2 linked regions of the Drosophila melanogaster genome follow. The protein of the gene in region 1 interacts with the protein of each later gene in a biochemical or structural test. Each region holds a gene or a part of one and is shown on either strand. Other genes may lie near its edges.

Region 1 (9,555 bases):
ATGCATGGGTGTGTGAGTGTGAATATGAGTGCGAGTGTGAGAGAGCAAGGAAACGCTAAGAGAAAACAAACGGCTCGTATGCGTAATATGGGTGTCTGTGTGGGTGGTGGGTGTGTGTTAGTCTGCGCGTGTGTGTGTGTGTCTGTGAGGGTGTGTCGGTGTTATTGAACAGTACACTTACATACATACAAATTTAAGCTTAAGAATTCGTTTTGAATTTCGCTTAACTAACATTCCTTTTTCTCATTTAATATAGTTTTTAGCTTTTTGCGTCTTTCATTCTGTTTGCTCATTTCGTTTCGTTTACTCCATTTACGTTTTATTCATGTATTAAATTTAAATTAATTGCTGTATTTTTTCCTTACATTTTCGACTTTATGTTTTACTTTTACGTTTGCGCTTATTAAATCGTTTTTCATTTTTATTACCTCGTTCTCACGTTTATTATTGGCTTAAAATTAAAGTTGTATTTTACGTGTTGCTGTCGTATTTAAAGTTTGTTTTAAAAATTAATGCATGCCAACTCGATGAAATTTGCTTTGTGATTTACTCTCGTGTGATTGTTTCTCAATTTTCGTTTAGTGTTTCGACTTTCGTTCTTTTTCTGCTTGTGCTTTAATGTGTTTTGTGGTTTAAATGAATTTTATTTGTTTCGTTTTTGCTTCTCATAATTAAATATAATATTTATTCAAATATAATAAAATGCTTGGTTTCTCGAATGCAAAAAATTCAAATGTAGTAGACTTGATGTTGCAGTTTTCTAACGTTAAGGAGCCAAATTGCGAAGCGACGCCAACTTAATAGTACCGCGAATTTTTTATGTTGCGATTCGATTCTGGGCCGCAGCAACAGCCGCGCCACGCCCACCAGGCCGCCCAATTTTCAAACATTTTGCTTGGATAGTTGTTTTTTTTTTCTGTTTTTGTGCTGTTGTTTTCCATGCTGTTTATTGTGGATGACAATTTGTGTTCCTGCTGCTTTGCTTGCTGTTATCATGTTGCAAATATGTTGATACACATACGGGTGCTGCTGTTGTGGTGATCGACTGCTATGGTTGTTGTTGCCGCATTGGTTCCATGTTGTTGTTCTTGAAGTTGTTGTCGTGTTGTTGTTGATTTTGTTGTTGTTGTTGTATGCATATATATTATATGGTATTATATTTACTTTAGAAGGTATATAATGTGTTTTAAATGGAAGGGCGGGGGTTTACTTAAATTACGACACGTCCTGATCCTCAACATCCTGGATTTGCTCTTTGGGCTCGCCATCACCTGCGTTGGGGTCTACTTCTTAGTATAATATTTAGAACTTAATAACGGAGCCGAACAAGTGGATGTGATATTACAACTTACCTTCTGCCTGCATATCGGACGTCCATAATGTGAGGTTGTCGCGCAGCAGCTGCATGATGAGTGTCGAGTCTTTGTAGCTCTCTTCGCTCAGTGTATCCAACTCGGCAATGGCATCATCGAAAGCGGCTTTCGCCAAGCGGCAAGCGCGGTCCGGCGAGTTGAGAATCTCATAGTAGAACACCTGCAAGGATTTTAAAATATATATATAGAAAACATATGACGACATCGTGTCTCTTCACAATCACTCACCGAGAAGTTCAATGCCAAGCCCAAACGGATGGGGTGTGTTGGTGGCAGATCGTTCATGGCAATATCGCTGGCCGCCTTGTAGGCAATCAGCGAGTTCTCTGCCGCATCCTTGCGGTCGGAGCCGGTGGCGAATTCGGCCAGGTAGCGATGGTAGTCGCCCTTCATCTTATAGTAGAATACTTTGCTTTCGCCGGATGTGGCGCATGGAATGAGATGCTTCTCGAGCACGTTCAGTATATCCGAGCAGATGTCGCGCAGCTCCTTCTCCACCTGTCCGCGGTAGGTTTTGATCATCTCCAATTTCTCCTCGGCCCCCTTGTTCTCCTCCTTCTGTTCGATCGAGGTGATGATGCGCCACGAGGCACGGCGTGCTCCAATCACATTCTTGTACGCCACCGACAGCAGATTTCGCTCCTCGACGGTCAGCTCTACGTCCATGGAGGCGACCTTCTTCATGGCCTCCACCATTTCTGTAAAGAGGACATAACAAATGAAAGGTGTGGTCTTTAGTATATAAGAGTAAATGTTTACAATAATCAAGTGTAACATCTCAAACCAAATTTAAGGGATTGCCCATTAACTAACGATTAGTTTAATCATTAGTTCGCATATATGTATATTCATTCTGCAATGCCTAAGGAAAATATACATCATTAAACAAATACTTCATTTGAGTGAGTAAGAAGTAATGTTTATGATGTAGTTTAAACAATGCTATCGGACGCTATTTTATCAACAATTTCGTAGAATACAAATGTTTGTTTGATTGTTCATATAATTTTTGAATTGCTTTCATATATTTCATGTTAAGATTAAAAATAAAAACCAAACATTTCAATTGGAAAGCCAACAAGATACATACATTATATACATTTTGCGTAGATAAATTTATCCAAGGTATGGAAGGCTTGTTATCTGGACTTTCCTCCCGCTTGTCCTTGTCCCCTCGCGACAGCCTAGACTACCTATTTTCCATTTCTTATCGCCGACACGCCCAATCCGCGATGATATATAAGTTATGCAGATATATTTATGCATAAGGTGGCGTTGCGTCTACGCCTGATTTAGCTGGTTCTGTCATACCAATACCAATACCAATACCAATACGGGGCCATCCAATCAGCCGGTGATAAGGGCTTCCGCCACATTGTTGCACCCAATCCTATCGTCCCCATCGGGGGCATCTCTATCTGCGTCTGCATCACCATCTAAAACTGCGTCATGAATCACATGTTCGGAACTCAACACGGAAGCAAACAAGGAGCTCGTTTATCAAATTAAAGTGAGTAGGTTAAGAGCTGATATCATTTGGCCATTTCATTTCCTTTTTCGAGTCAGTCAATTGAAGTCTAAATATATTTCGAAGTTCATTTAAATGCTTTTCGGGCATATGATTAGTATTTGGAATTATGCAAGATTAGTTTTTGATATCTGACCAAAGGAAATGTAAGATATTTCCGAACCAAATCATCTAAATTATCATTGCAGTGCTGCCTGTCTGGGTAAAGCCAGTTGCAGGCTAACTATCTCGGGCATATCTGGTGGCTGATAACAATACAGAGCTAGACTACACTACTATTCAAAATATTGTAATTGTAGCGCGTTTGCTGACTTGCACTGTCTGCCCTCTCTCGCTCGCACCCGCTGCCCGTCAGCTGCTGACGTATTTCGCACACCAACACCCCCATACATACACACACACTAGCACTCACACACAAAGACATCGGGACATTTGCCGACTGTCTGCTTATTAGTGCGATTTTTGTTGTAGCACGTATTTGTGAAAAATTGCCAATAAAGTTGCATGATTCACGAATATTTGTGGCTGTGATTGAACTTCAAACATTGTTGTTCGCATTGGCGGGCTGTTTGAAACCAATGTGGATGATGATGTGCACACGCATTTTACAACGCTTGCAAGCTATGCTGAGTTACGCATAAAAAATGAACTTGAGAGTGGGTAGGGAGGGGGAAGGGGAGGGGGAGCGCAGTTGGGTGGTGAAGGGTGGCTGGGATCCTTGCAACTTTAAAAGTATACAGCACATGTTGCTTAGTAGTAAGTAATCCACAACCAATTATGAGACATGCGCGTCAGACCAGTCACTAAATCATGTACATATAGCAAGGCGAAAATCAATAAACGCGTCCCAAAAATAAAGAGCCAAGTCCCGCGGGCATGATAAATCATTTGCGGAACCACGAAGTGGTAAAAAGAAATGTATGGAAACTTCTCGAATCATATGAACTTTCAGTAGAAAGTGCAAAGTTCACGAAAGTCTAGCAAATTTGGCGAAAATAGTATGGAATAGATTCTAAGTAGATTCGTGAGTAGTTGAACTACATTTGAAAAGTATTCATCTTTTTTATTATAAAAAATGATTAATCTTTTTCATAAACAAGTTGATTGCAAAGATGAGCGTGGTCATCTCAATTGTGTTGTTTTTCCAAGAAATAAGTATTGGAATTTGATAAACTAGCGACAACCCTGCAAAGGCAATCCACCACCACCCAAAAGTAAAAAGAAGTCACGCGAGCTGGAATGAAATATTGGGACGAAATAGGGAGCAAAAGGAATGGGCAGGATTTTCCACCCCCTCCTACCAACACGCCCCCAGAGATCCACCCCTCCCTTATGAGACGCCTGTGGGTGTGTCTTGCGCTCGTGTGGGTATGAGTGCGCGTGGTTTTGTGTGTGTGTGTATGTGTGTGTGTGTGAGTCGCATAAGGGCGCAGCAGCTGAAAAAACATGCGCACATACCGTTACAGCGGGCAGAGAATGTGTAATTAGACAAAGGAAGCAGCAACAACAGCCCCTAAAATGGTGCAATTTGAGCAAAAAGCGAGCAACAAACAAAACACACCTAACACCACCGCCACCCACCGCCCATCAATCAACCGTATGTATGCTACTTTTTCCACTCATTTTTTTTTTGTCTGCCTTTTGCGCATATTGACGACATTGACGAGAACGAACATCAACGGAAAAAGCAGCGCGCGACCTCGAAAAAAATGTAGATAGAACGCAGAGAGCGCAAGATGGAAAGAGCATGGAGCGGGGGATGGTGGGCGCAGGGGGCAGCACCTGAGAAAGCACACTTAAAGGCTGACGTTAATGTGTGCAGAAAAGGGGAGCAGGGGTTTGAAGAGGAGATGAGATCAGGGGCGGAGAGGGCGAGGCAAGTTCAGATTGGGGGCGCAGACATTGCCGGCTGGCGGCTTTGCCGCTCCGCTTCGCTCTCCGCCGCGCTCTTTCTCTCTCTTCGCGCGCAATGGTATTGGTGCTCCAGCATGAGCTCCACCGCAAAATGTCCGAGTGTGACAAGGCCAACGCCAAGTGCTGCACACCAACGCACACCGATGGGCGAAAATAAGAAGACAAACATGTGATACAGACACAAATATCCCCACCAGTGGTGTATGTATGCATGTATGCCCTGTTTGTGTGTGCTAATAGTTGATTGACTTCTTTGCCGCCGCCACCGCCCGTTAATGTTGTCAGTTTTGCAGGCAATTAGGTGCAGAGTACCGTTTGCAATTATTGTTGCTATAGTCGCTGCCCAAGTACAGCAGCAGGAAGGAACGGCAGACAGAGGAATCGCCAAATGTTTGTTAACTTTTTACAGCCACTGTGCAGCGTCGCCGACACTTCGACACACTAGCCATCTCGTTTTGGCGCACGCAGCGTTTATGGCAATTGGTTAAGCGCGCGCTTTTTGCAAATGCCGAATTTGCCGTCCCCCTCCCACTGCGACTTTCTTTGCATTTTGAGCTGGCTTTTTAATTAATTGGAGTATTTTTAATTAAATATAAGCAAAGGCTACAGAAGAAGCAACAATAAAAACCGCCCGGCGGACACTCATCGGCACACGCACACCTCCGTACAAACACACACACACACGCATGCATACATGCGCATAAGCATGAGTAATGCGAGAGTAACAGAAGAAGCACAGAAAAATTTTATATTTCCTTTTTTCGCATTATCAGATAGGGTTGCCAAGTGGCCGCATAACTGCTTGCAACTAGCCGCAACTAATTTGCATAAATAAAGAATTAAGCAATAGGCAGAAAGTGAGAGAGGGAGACAGCCGGCGACACAATCGATTCATTCATCGATTTTTCGCAGCAACGGCATGGTGACGACGCCGCTGCTGCGCATGAAAAGCACATTTCGTGGAAAAAAAGGGGGAGGGGGTCTGAAAGAGAGGACTGCACCTACCCCTGCCCCACAATCATTGATTTTGGGTGTGGAATAAGTGTATTTAAGAAACTAGAATCCCCAAAAAATGTGTCGTTTCTAGAAAGTTACGCCTTGACAACTACTAAGAAAGAAAAAAAAAGAACGCGAACTGGAATCAACTGCAAACAGCCCTTAGCAACCAAGGAAGAAAATAAAATGCTAGCTGCCGCGCAGCCCTTGCTCGCAACGCCAAATACACAAAATTTTCCCCTTCTAAACTAATACTATATAGTTCCAAAAAAGAAAGAGCGGAGCAAACTATTTGCTGTAAATTATAATACGCAATTCCGTTTCTTTCTCTTTTTGTGCAAAACCACGCGAATTTTTGCCGGTAAAAATCAGGTTTTACACTCTATTCATCTCTTTTCGTTCTTCCGACGCTCTGCTTCTTCTTCGGCTTCTTCCTCTTCTTACTGTTTCCTCCATCTCCCGTTCTTTTCGCAAGAAATACTACTCATCGCGACGCTGCGTCGCTTCGAATGCAGCTACAGCGATGAAAATTGAAAATTTCCATCGTTTTCTCTGGAAGAAAACCTTTTAATTGGCACATTCGGACGAAAAGCGGAGCTCTAGACTTTTTCAACGACCACGCGACGACGCAATGGATCGGGAAGACAAAAAAAAATCCCAGGCGACCCCTCCCCAAAAACGTTGGCGCTCCTCAGTCGAGAAAATTTTTTCCCTACTCTACTAGCATTTGTCTACCGTTTTCTACCATTTTTGCTACCATTTTTTTTCGGAATCACTACTCACCGTCGTAGCGCTCGGCCTGTTCGGCCAGCTTTGCCTTGTACACATTGTTCTCGCGCTCAGTCATTGTGTTGAAGCCTTTTCGGTAAAATTAATCCACAGAAAAAATTATTTAAATGCTCCCGGTACGTGCGGCGTCGATTTTGCTTGCTGCCTGTGGTTCGTCGCCTTCTTTTTTCTCTACTTCTCGAGCGGTGTGACCGTATCGGGCGGCGGTTGAAACACTAAAATTGATGGGCGATGGCCTAATGACGGACTTAAAAACGCATCACGCGTTCCGTGCGCATGCGCAAGCGATGGTGGTAAAATCGGAAAAATTTCTTTTTAAAATGGTATTTCTATCTGGATATTACTTGTGAAAATCCGTTTGTGTGAAGCTTTTATTCGGAAGTTTTAAAATGTTATAGTAAATTGACACATTTAAAAAAGCTATAGCTATAAATATGTTGTATTAAATGAACACATGAAGCAATGTCGTTAGCAGGGACTTCCACCTTTTCTGTGCAATTCAATTTGTCATTAGTCATGACATAACCCACATGCACTGCAGACTATCGATACTTATGATACTTTCGATTAGAGTATAAATTTTAAATTTTAAAATGTGACCGTTTTTTATTTTAAATAAAAGTGTTTAAAAAACAGTTAATATTTTTATGGTTTAATTTAATCCTTCTAAGTTAAAAAAATAAGCTACTAAATGCTCTTATTTAATTTCGAAGTCCGGAAGTGGTTATTTTGGCGTCCTTTGGTCACACTAGCTTTAATGTTGCAAAAAAGTTGGGGAACAACGACATTTGATATGGGAAATATGTTTAGAAACTAAACCACCAGGTCTTGCAGCAGAAACCAGAATGACTCTCAACCTGGGCGGCTGGATCCACAGCTTCACAGTGACGGACACCCAGGAGCACAAGGGCGGGTACACAATATACAAAATCACCTCGATTGTAAGTCGTTTTTTTTGGGGGCAGATGAACTGTTCCAAATAGTAAACCTCACCCACTTTTAGGTCTTCCCAAGGTCGGTACCTCAAGCTCTGACCTGCCTGGTGGTGTGGAAACGGTTCCACGATGTCAAGCGGCTGCATCGCGAGCTTAGCCGGCGCCACAAGAGTCTCCAACTACCCGGCAAGTTGCCAGTGCCCACAGATAGCACATATTTCAAGAGATTCGATGCGGCAGTCATCCAACGGCGTAAGGAGTACATCCTGCAATTATTAGACTTTGCAGCGCAGCATCCGGCGCTGTACAAGTGCTCAACCTTCACACAGTTCTTCCAGGAGACACCCTCGCCAAACGGATCGCCACTTAAGAAGCTATATGTGGAGCGATCCCTGCGGCTGCAGACGGAAGACAATGGCTGCGGAAGTGGCGGTTCGGAAACAGGAACTTGCGCTGGTGCCATAGCCGACATTTGCGATAAACTAGACTTGCCCTATGACCCACACGACGCGGGGGGCATCACGCCTCTAGATCCGCGCTGTGATAAGGAGCAAACGAACAACGAATCCCAGGCCAAAGAAACTGAAATCGAATTAGAAACGAAACAGGAGCCCAAGACAGACGTAGCGCTGACCAAGAGGGATTATCTCCGCCTTCTGACGCCCATGGCTTCCATAGAAAGCGACGACAGCGACTACATATATGAGGCGGCTCTAGAGTTCAGTCATGCCGTCCAAGCGGAGGTTAACCTGGAGTATGCCGAAGCCCACGAGAGGTACAAGCATGGTGTGGACCTGCTGCTCAATGGGGCCAAGCAGGATAGCAGTGAGGAGCGTAGATTTATAGCCAAGGCGAAGATAGCCAAATACTTGGCGCGGGCTGAGGAGATTCACGCCAATTTCCTGGCCAACGATTGTCCGACGAAGAAGCTGCAGTTCCAGCTCTCGCTGGACACGACAGACGGCGGTAGCGTGAGCCATTTGGAGTGCCCCTGGAATCAGTTGGCACGCTACAAGGTGCTGCAGATTCTCCAGGACCGTGTGATGCAGGTGCAGTGTGTGACGAAATCCCAGCAGCCGGCTGCCATTATGAAGGGCGTCGAGAAGCCGGCCAGTCACTCGCTGACCCAGAGCATCTTTCTGCCCCAGCAGGTGCCTTACATGGTCCAACTGCTGGCCTACTTTCAGTCGGAGCAGAAGATTTTTCTGCTACTGCGGCAGGCGGAGGGCGGCATGTTGTACGATTACCTGCAGAGCTACACGCCCACGAGTAGTAAGAGTGTCAATTATGGAGAGCTTTTTCCCTCGGACCAGGAGCCGGAGGAGAAGGAGGCAGAGGAGCCACCTCTGACTTCGGACAGCGATGTCAGCGATTTGGTTCGCAGCTCCCAGCAGCTTTTAAAGTCCGTAACAAACACGCTGAGCAATTTGCAAGCGGGAGTCGTTACACCCAAAAGAAATAAAAAGGTGGATCAAAATCGCATCCGAAGTAAACCCATTCCGGAGCAGTGCCTGCGTCAGTGGGCTTGCGAACTGGCCATCGCCATACACAGTCTGCACGGCAAGGGCGTTATTCTGCGCGATCTGCACATGGGCAACATTTTACTGGGCGCCAAGGGACAGCTGCTCCTGACGTATTTCTATCAGAACGAGGGTCTAACCTCGGACGACAACTATGTGCACAAGGCACTGAACTTGGAGGCAGTGGCTAATCACTTTGTGGCACCAGAAAGACCGCTCACTTTTCGCTCGGACTGGTGGAGCTACGGCGTGGTGCTCTATCAGCTTCTGCTGGGAGTTGTAAGTTTTGAGTTCTCGATTGAAAATGTTTGGATAATAGCAATCTGCTTTCTTTCCAGCCCTACAAAGTCACGCATCCCGGGCAACTGGACCTCTATGGTTGTGTTCAGTATCCTAGTGAGTCGTTGGAGATTTCCGATCATGCCAAGGATCTGCTGGAGCAACTGCTGCAGCTTTCTCCGGAGCTACGTTTGGACTACGACCAATTGCAGGCTCATCCA
Region 2 (5,478 bases), on another chromosome or scaffold:
CTCTTTTTTTTTTTCGGGGGCGGTGAGAGGGCGTGGCCAAGTATATGTATATACATACAGCAAACTGCTAGCCGAGGCCAATGCTCCTTGGGGCATGGGCATCCAACCACGCATGCTAATGAGCCACTTGCTCGCGCTCCCATTTCGGAAGATAGTTCTTCTCGAGACTCACTTTTGGACGGCTCTTGCCTAACGAGTGCGCCAATCGAAAGATGAAGGGTTCATGGTGCGGAGTTCAGGGTTATGGGTTTCAACTCGGGTTAACCACGTGCTACAAGCTCACCTAACTGGGGGCCAATCCTCGCCTTTATGGCCCCGCATTACAGCACAGATCCCGTTTGATGAAAAGCATTAGCAACAATTAATGTTGCAACTGCAACATCGAGCAGGCAATGCAACATTGCACACATATGTACATACATACATTAGTATGTACATACGTATGTGTGTGTGGGTGTGTGCGGATCGTGCGAAAATGCGAAAATGTACAGAGGCGGCGATCAAAGTAAACGGTCTATCAATGGGATCCCACCATCTTACAGCGAATCATTTTATTGTTATGCATAAACAATTTCTTTCTCGCAAGCATTGAACCCACGAAGCCGTGCGATTTTGAAATGGAAAACAGACAGCAGAAGACATGAAACACAGTTTTCCCAAACGAAAGGCGATTAGCATTTCAGTTGCAGTTGGCTTCTGTTTGCCATGGCATGTTTTGAATATAAATGCCCCGGTGGCTCAAAGAATCCGAGATTCCCAGCATGAATATTCAGGGGAGGATGTGCCCGGGTGTTCGGGGCTCGGTGCTTGGGGACTGGTGACTGGGGACTGGGGTTCGGCAAGCGCCGGAGGAATGTGGCCACTGGCCAAGAACTGGAACTGGAAAATAATCAATTGCAGACCCGCGATGCGAAGAGACTTTCGGCCAGCGATCCCATCCAATGCCAGACCTGTTTTTCTTCACTATCCCCTCCCCTCCCCTCCCCCTTCCATCATGATCATAAGACCAAACCCCGGACCCATCCCGATCCCATCCGATCCGCTTCGGTTTGTTTGGTTCTATTCTGGCTAAATGGGTCGAGCAATGGAACGTAACTGTTTCGCATAAGTGCATCGATGGAGCCGCATTAAAACGGTCTCACATGGACGATGGCATCGCCGGGCAGGGTGCGGAAGAAGTGGACACAATCTCAAGACGCCATCTGCCCGCTGACGTGACCAGAGGTGATCCAGCTCCAGCTACAGTTCTAGCAACAGCTCCAGCTCTTATCGCACTGATTTCCTTATCGATTCGGTGATAGTAGGGGAAATACAGTAGAAGCTGCCATAAAGATCATTTTTCAATTTAATTAGAATATCTATCTTTTAGTCGAACGACACAATATCTTGCTTAAAAGGTTCAGAAGTGTAACAGATTACTACGTATGTATCACACGGTTCCATTGTATTTTTAGCAGTATAAATACAAGAAATATAGGTTTGTTATATAGTACCTGGTACCTGGCTTCCGCGTTAGCAGGTATTCACTGTGCCGCCACCATTCATTATCGATAAAAAAAAGGGCGGTCTGGTCCGCTCTGATTTTCACTGCAACCGCATAAAATGCGTTGCAAAAGCAAGCCAAACATAAACCAAAAACCAAAATGGAAATGAAAAGGAAAATTAGGCGTTTGTTTTGTTTGGGTCTGCTTGGCTGCCCGCCGCTCATTGCACAATTTCCCGCTGAGGAATTTTCATTTTCAGGTATTTTAGGCATTTATTCAGTAGGTGTGTCCGTAGATGTGCGAGTTGGAGTAAGTAGCCGAGTAAGTGAGTGGAGTGAGTGAGTGAGTAAGTGGCGGCCAAGAATTTACGGCTAAAAATAAGGCACGCAATGGGCCAATTGGGTGGAGTTCGCAGTCGATAAGGAACTCTCCCAGACTAAATGGTCCCCAAACAACAAGCCATTAATAAGAGGGCGGGACGCCAGGTGTTTGCTGGATGATCTAACAGGGGAAACGAAAAAAGCACAGTGAAAGAAATTCTCTGGCATGCAAACATGCATGTAAACATGGTAAACTCAGATGAATTCTTAATTTAACTAGCAAATCTGGTAAGTAGAATTCAAAGCCTGCAGCTGTGCAATAATTAAAAAAAAAAAAAAACATGGCCTTTAATTTAAATATTTCAGTCCAGAATTGCCTATTCTATATATAAGTTAATAGTTTTGTATTTCGTTTTGAAAAGAGACAACAAAAAAAAAAACGAATCCTTTTGAGTCGCAATTTCTCTCTGTGTGGGAACACTATGGCATTTCAAAGGATAGGGAACAGAGTGCTCCTGAGAACAGCAGCGAAAACAGCTGTTTCCAAAGCGTGCGCGCTCATCTCATTCTCATCGCAAAGAAATTGGCAAATATTGACAGGTGTATTTATGTGCGTGTACATTTGTATATATGTACATATGAACTTAACAAACAAGGCGAAACTCGGCGAATTTGGGAGAGCCACACGGCGATGATTTGTTTGCTCATTCGCCGTGACGTCAACGGCTCTGGGTTTTAATCGCAAATTGCTGGAATAAAACACTGTGCGCTGTGCAAATATGCAAAATAAATGAAACGAGCGAATTGAGGCAAAGAACGTACTAACTGATAGCGGGGCAAGTTCAAGATCACAACAAGCTGGATCCGTTCATGTCAATGGAGCCCAGTGTATTTATCATCTTGATTTGTGTAAATTCCACGCAGCTCTAGATTGAACCACAATTCGTGACTCATTTACTCATTTGGCCGCCCAGTGGCCACTATTGCAACCAATAACTAACATTGCGGAAAACATTTCTTAAAGGGTCTTATTGGCCATGTTGGAGATATGAAAATATCTATGCTTTGGCTTTCAGTTATTATTTGTTTCCATAATCACTGGACTGGGAACAGCAGAATGAGCGCGCTTTGTGTTTTGTCACGAATTTGGAATCGGAATTCGCGATTTCTCATTGACACTTAGCCCTGAAGAAAACGCAAAACGAAAACAATGGCAAAGGTAAACAAGAGGCACCAAAAAAGCGCCACCATGGGCGTATGCTAAGGAATGCCAAGGGGCGGAAGGCGATGCAAATACATAAGGGGAGCGCTTAGCATGAGCAATTTTCTAGCAATGCGATGAGTAAGTGCGCATTCGAGCAAGGGAATTATCTTATCAGCCAGAAAAGCCTGATAAAAAGGCAATTGCTGGAGTCAGGAAAACACAAGAGGAAGAGCAAGAGGCAATGGCAAAAGGAGGAAGCGCGCGGTGGGGAAAAAGTGAAATTTCGAATTGGTACGTCTGCAGCAAAAGCAATAGGAACAACACGACCGTCATGACAATATTTTAAGCACACACCAACACAACGGCGCAGGCCACACACCCATACACACGCGGCACAAACGAGTTTAAGTTTTAATGCGATTTATTCGCCGTAAAAAAAAAATAAAAAAAAAACACAAATACTAAAACGGGTGTCCCCCGCTTTTCGCCCCCACTTACCCGTTACACTACAGTGCGTCGGACTCCACATGTCACCCTGTATCCCGTTGATCAAGTCGCACTCTCACGCTCTCTCCCGATCCCGATCCTTTGCTGTCTCGCTCTTGCTGCGAAGGTCCTGCCTTTCGTTTCTTCTTCTTTGCCTATATTGTAATTTGGATTGTTGTTGTCGATGTGTTTTGTTTACACTAATCGTTGTGTTTGTTGCTGCTCGCACACTGTGATTTCTTCTTATTGTTCTCAGTTGCCAATTTAATCACGCGCGACACGAACGAAACGCCAGGAGAACGTAGTGTAGTCTAATGTAAAAAAAAAAAGGAAAAAGACGGAGACGCGACGCGTGATGTTGTTGTTTGAAAGGTGGCCGCTAGAGTGACCGTTTGGGGGAAACGAAATGTGCCCACTGCCAGTCGGGGAGCTGCAAAAGTGCAAGTTGCGCGGCGCGACTGCGAAGAACGGCGTATTTAGTAGAGGTGGAGAAATCGATGTTGGCGGACATCGATGTTTTCAATAAAAACAAAAAAATTAACTGCTTAACTTAAAGATTATTATTTTTTTATAATTGCTTAAATAAAAAGGCAGTACTATAACTAAACATGACAAGCTTATTGCCGTCTACGTTTTTATCCGCCCCTGGTCCAATAATTGCTCCTATAAATCAAATATACTAATTAATGCAATTCAATAGAAAAGTAATTCAATAGAAAAGTAAGCCAGTATGCATACGAGCAGGTGCACGCATGCATACATGCATAAATATACGTGTCGTCTTCCACGACGCCAGCCAAGACCACCAGCAAGTCACTGAAAATTTGCAATATGCTATTAATAAATGGAAATTGGAAAATTTGGAAATTTAATTTATACTCACAATTTAAACACTTTTAACCTACGATGCGCAGTAAAGATGGAAAAACATCGATGATTCTTTGAAAAACATCGATGTTTGTGATTTTTCGAAAACATCGATGACATCGATGTTGGCATCCACCTCTAGCATTTCGACCCCAGCCCAGCCTGGTCGCACTAACCGATTACAGCTGTGGCGTCCTTGTTAATGCAACGCTTTTTCGTTTTTCGCCGTTATAATTATTATAATTAATATTCGCATTCGATATGGAGCCAATGAATCTGGGCAGCCCGGTCAACAGTCCTGGCTCCAACCAGACCCAGTATCTGCCACCTTTTCTGCTCGGCGATCCGCAAGGTATAACGCCGCACAAGAACACGCTGTCCCCGAAAACCGGGCGCTCTAATATAAGTTTCGGTAAGTAGCCGGCATCAAGCAGCTCGTACGCATTGGCTATATGAACACATGCCCCGCAGCCACCTCGCCCGGCGGCAGCAGTCCGCACGAGCTCAACCGCTCCGCTCTGAGCACACGCACTCTGTTCGCCGCCCAAGGAGGCGCCCACACGGCTGTGGGCGCCAACAGCTCAACGACCGCGCACGGCCAGACGCACAGCCACCACCAGACGGGACCGCCCACCCAGGGACTCTTCGACTCGCTGCGCGAACAGTCCGTCACCCCGAAGAAGAAGAACCATCTTGGCATGCTGCAGTTGCAGTCACCGAACCAGAGCTACCAGAGCAGCTATCACACGAATGACTCGTTCGCACCCGGGGCGCCCAATGCCATCAATGCCTCGATGCGAGCACTGTGCTCGCCACTTGGAGCCACTGCCTCGCCAGCTGGAGGCCTGGGCACATCCGTGACGACGGGCGGCAACTCGCGCCTATCCGACTTTTGGGTTACCATCTTCGGGTTCCCGCCGGGGGCCGGCTCCATGGTGCTGCAGCACTTCACCGTCTGCGGCACCATTGTGGACGTGGTGCATGCCCCGCAGAACGGCAACTGGATGTATGTGCGCTACTCCTCGCGCATCGAGAGCGACAAGGCGCTGAACTACAACGAAAAAATCATCGCCGGCAATGTGATGGTGGGCGTGTCGCGCTGCACGGATAGGTCGGT

The links. Proteins that work in one complex are often made in the same cells at the same time.
Region 2: the proteins of 14-3-3epsilon (region 1) and Rip11 interact in far-western blotting, tested with the Drosophila melanogaster proteins (one study listed by BioGRID).

What each region holds. Positions count from the first base shown.
Region 1 is NT_033777.3:18,239,949-18,249,503, reverse strand, and holds 14-3-3epsilon (14-3-3epsilon), read right to left. Parts: upstream 6,818-9,555; 5' UTR 6,659-6,817; coding exon 6,595-6,658; intron 2,072-6,594; coding exon 1,602-2,071; intron 1,534-1,601; coding exon 1,353-1,533; intron 1,290-1,352; coding exon 1,216-1,289; 3' UTR 925-1,215; downstream 1-924. Other genes in the region: CG7156 (uncharacterized protein), read left to right, coding at 7,446-7,541, 7,604-9,334, 9,394-9,555. UniProt on the Drosophila melanogaster protein: Positively regulates Ras-mediated pathways. Acts downstream or parallel to Raf, but upstream of nuclear factors in Ras signaling. Three mutants have been isolated, that suppress the rough eye phenotype caused by mutated Ras1 (sev-Ras1 v12).
Region 2 is NC_004354.4:18,643,684-18,649,161, forward strand, and holds the start of Rip11 (Rab11 interacting protein), read right to left. Parts: upstream 3,885-5,478; 5' UTR 3,538-3,884; coding exon 3,507-3,537; intron 1-3,506. Other genes in the region: Nup35 (nucleoporin 35kDa), read left to right, coding at 4,623-4,773, 4,833-5,478.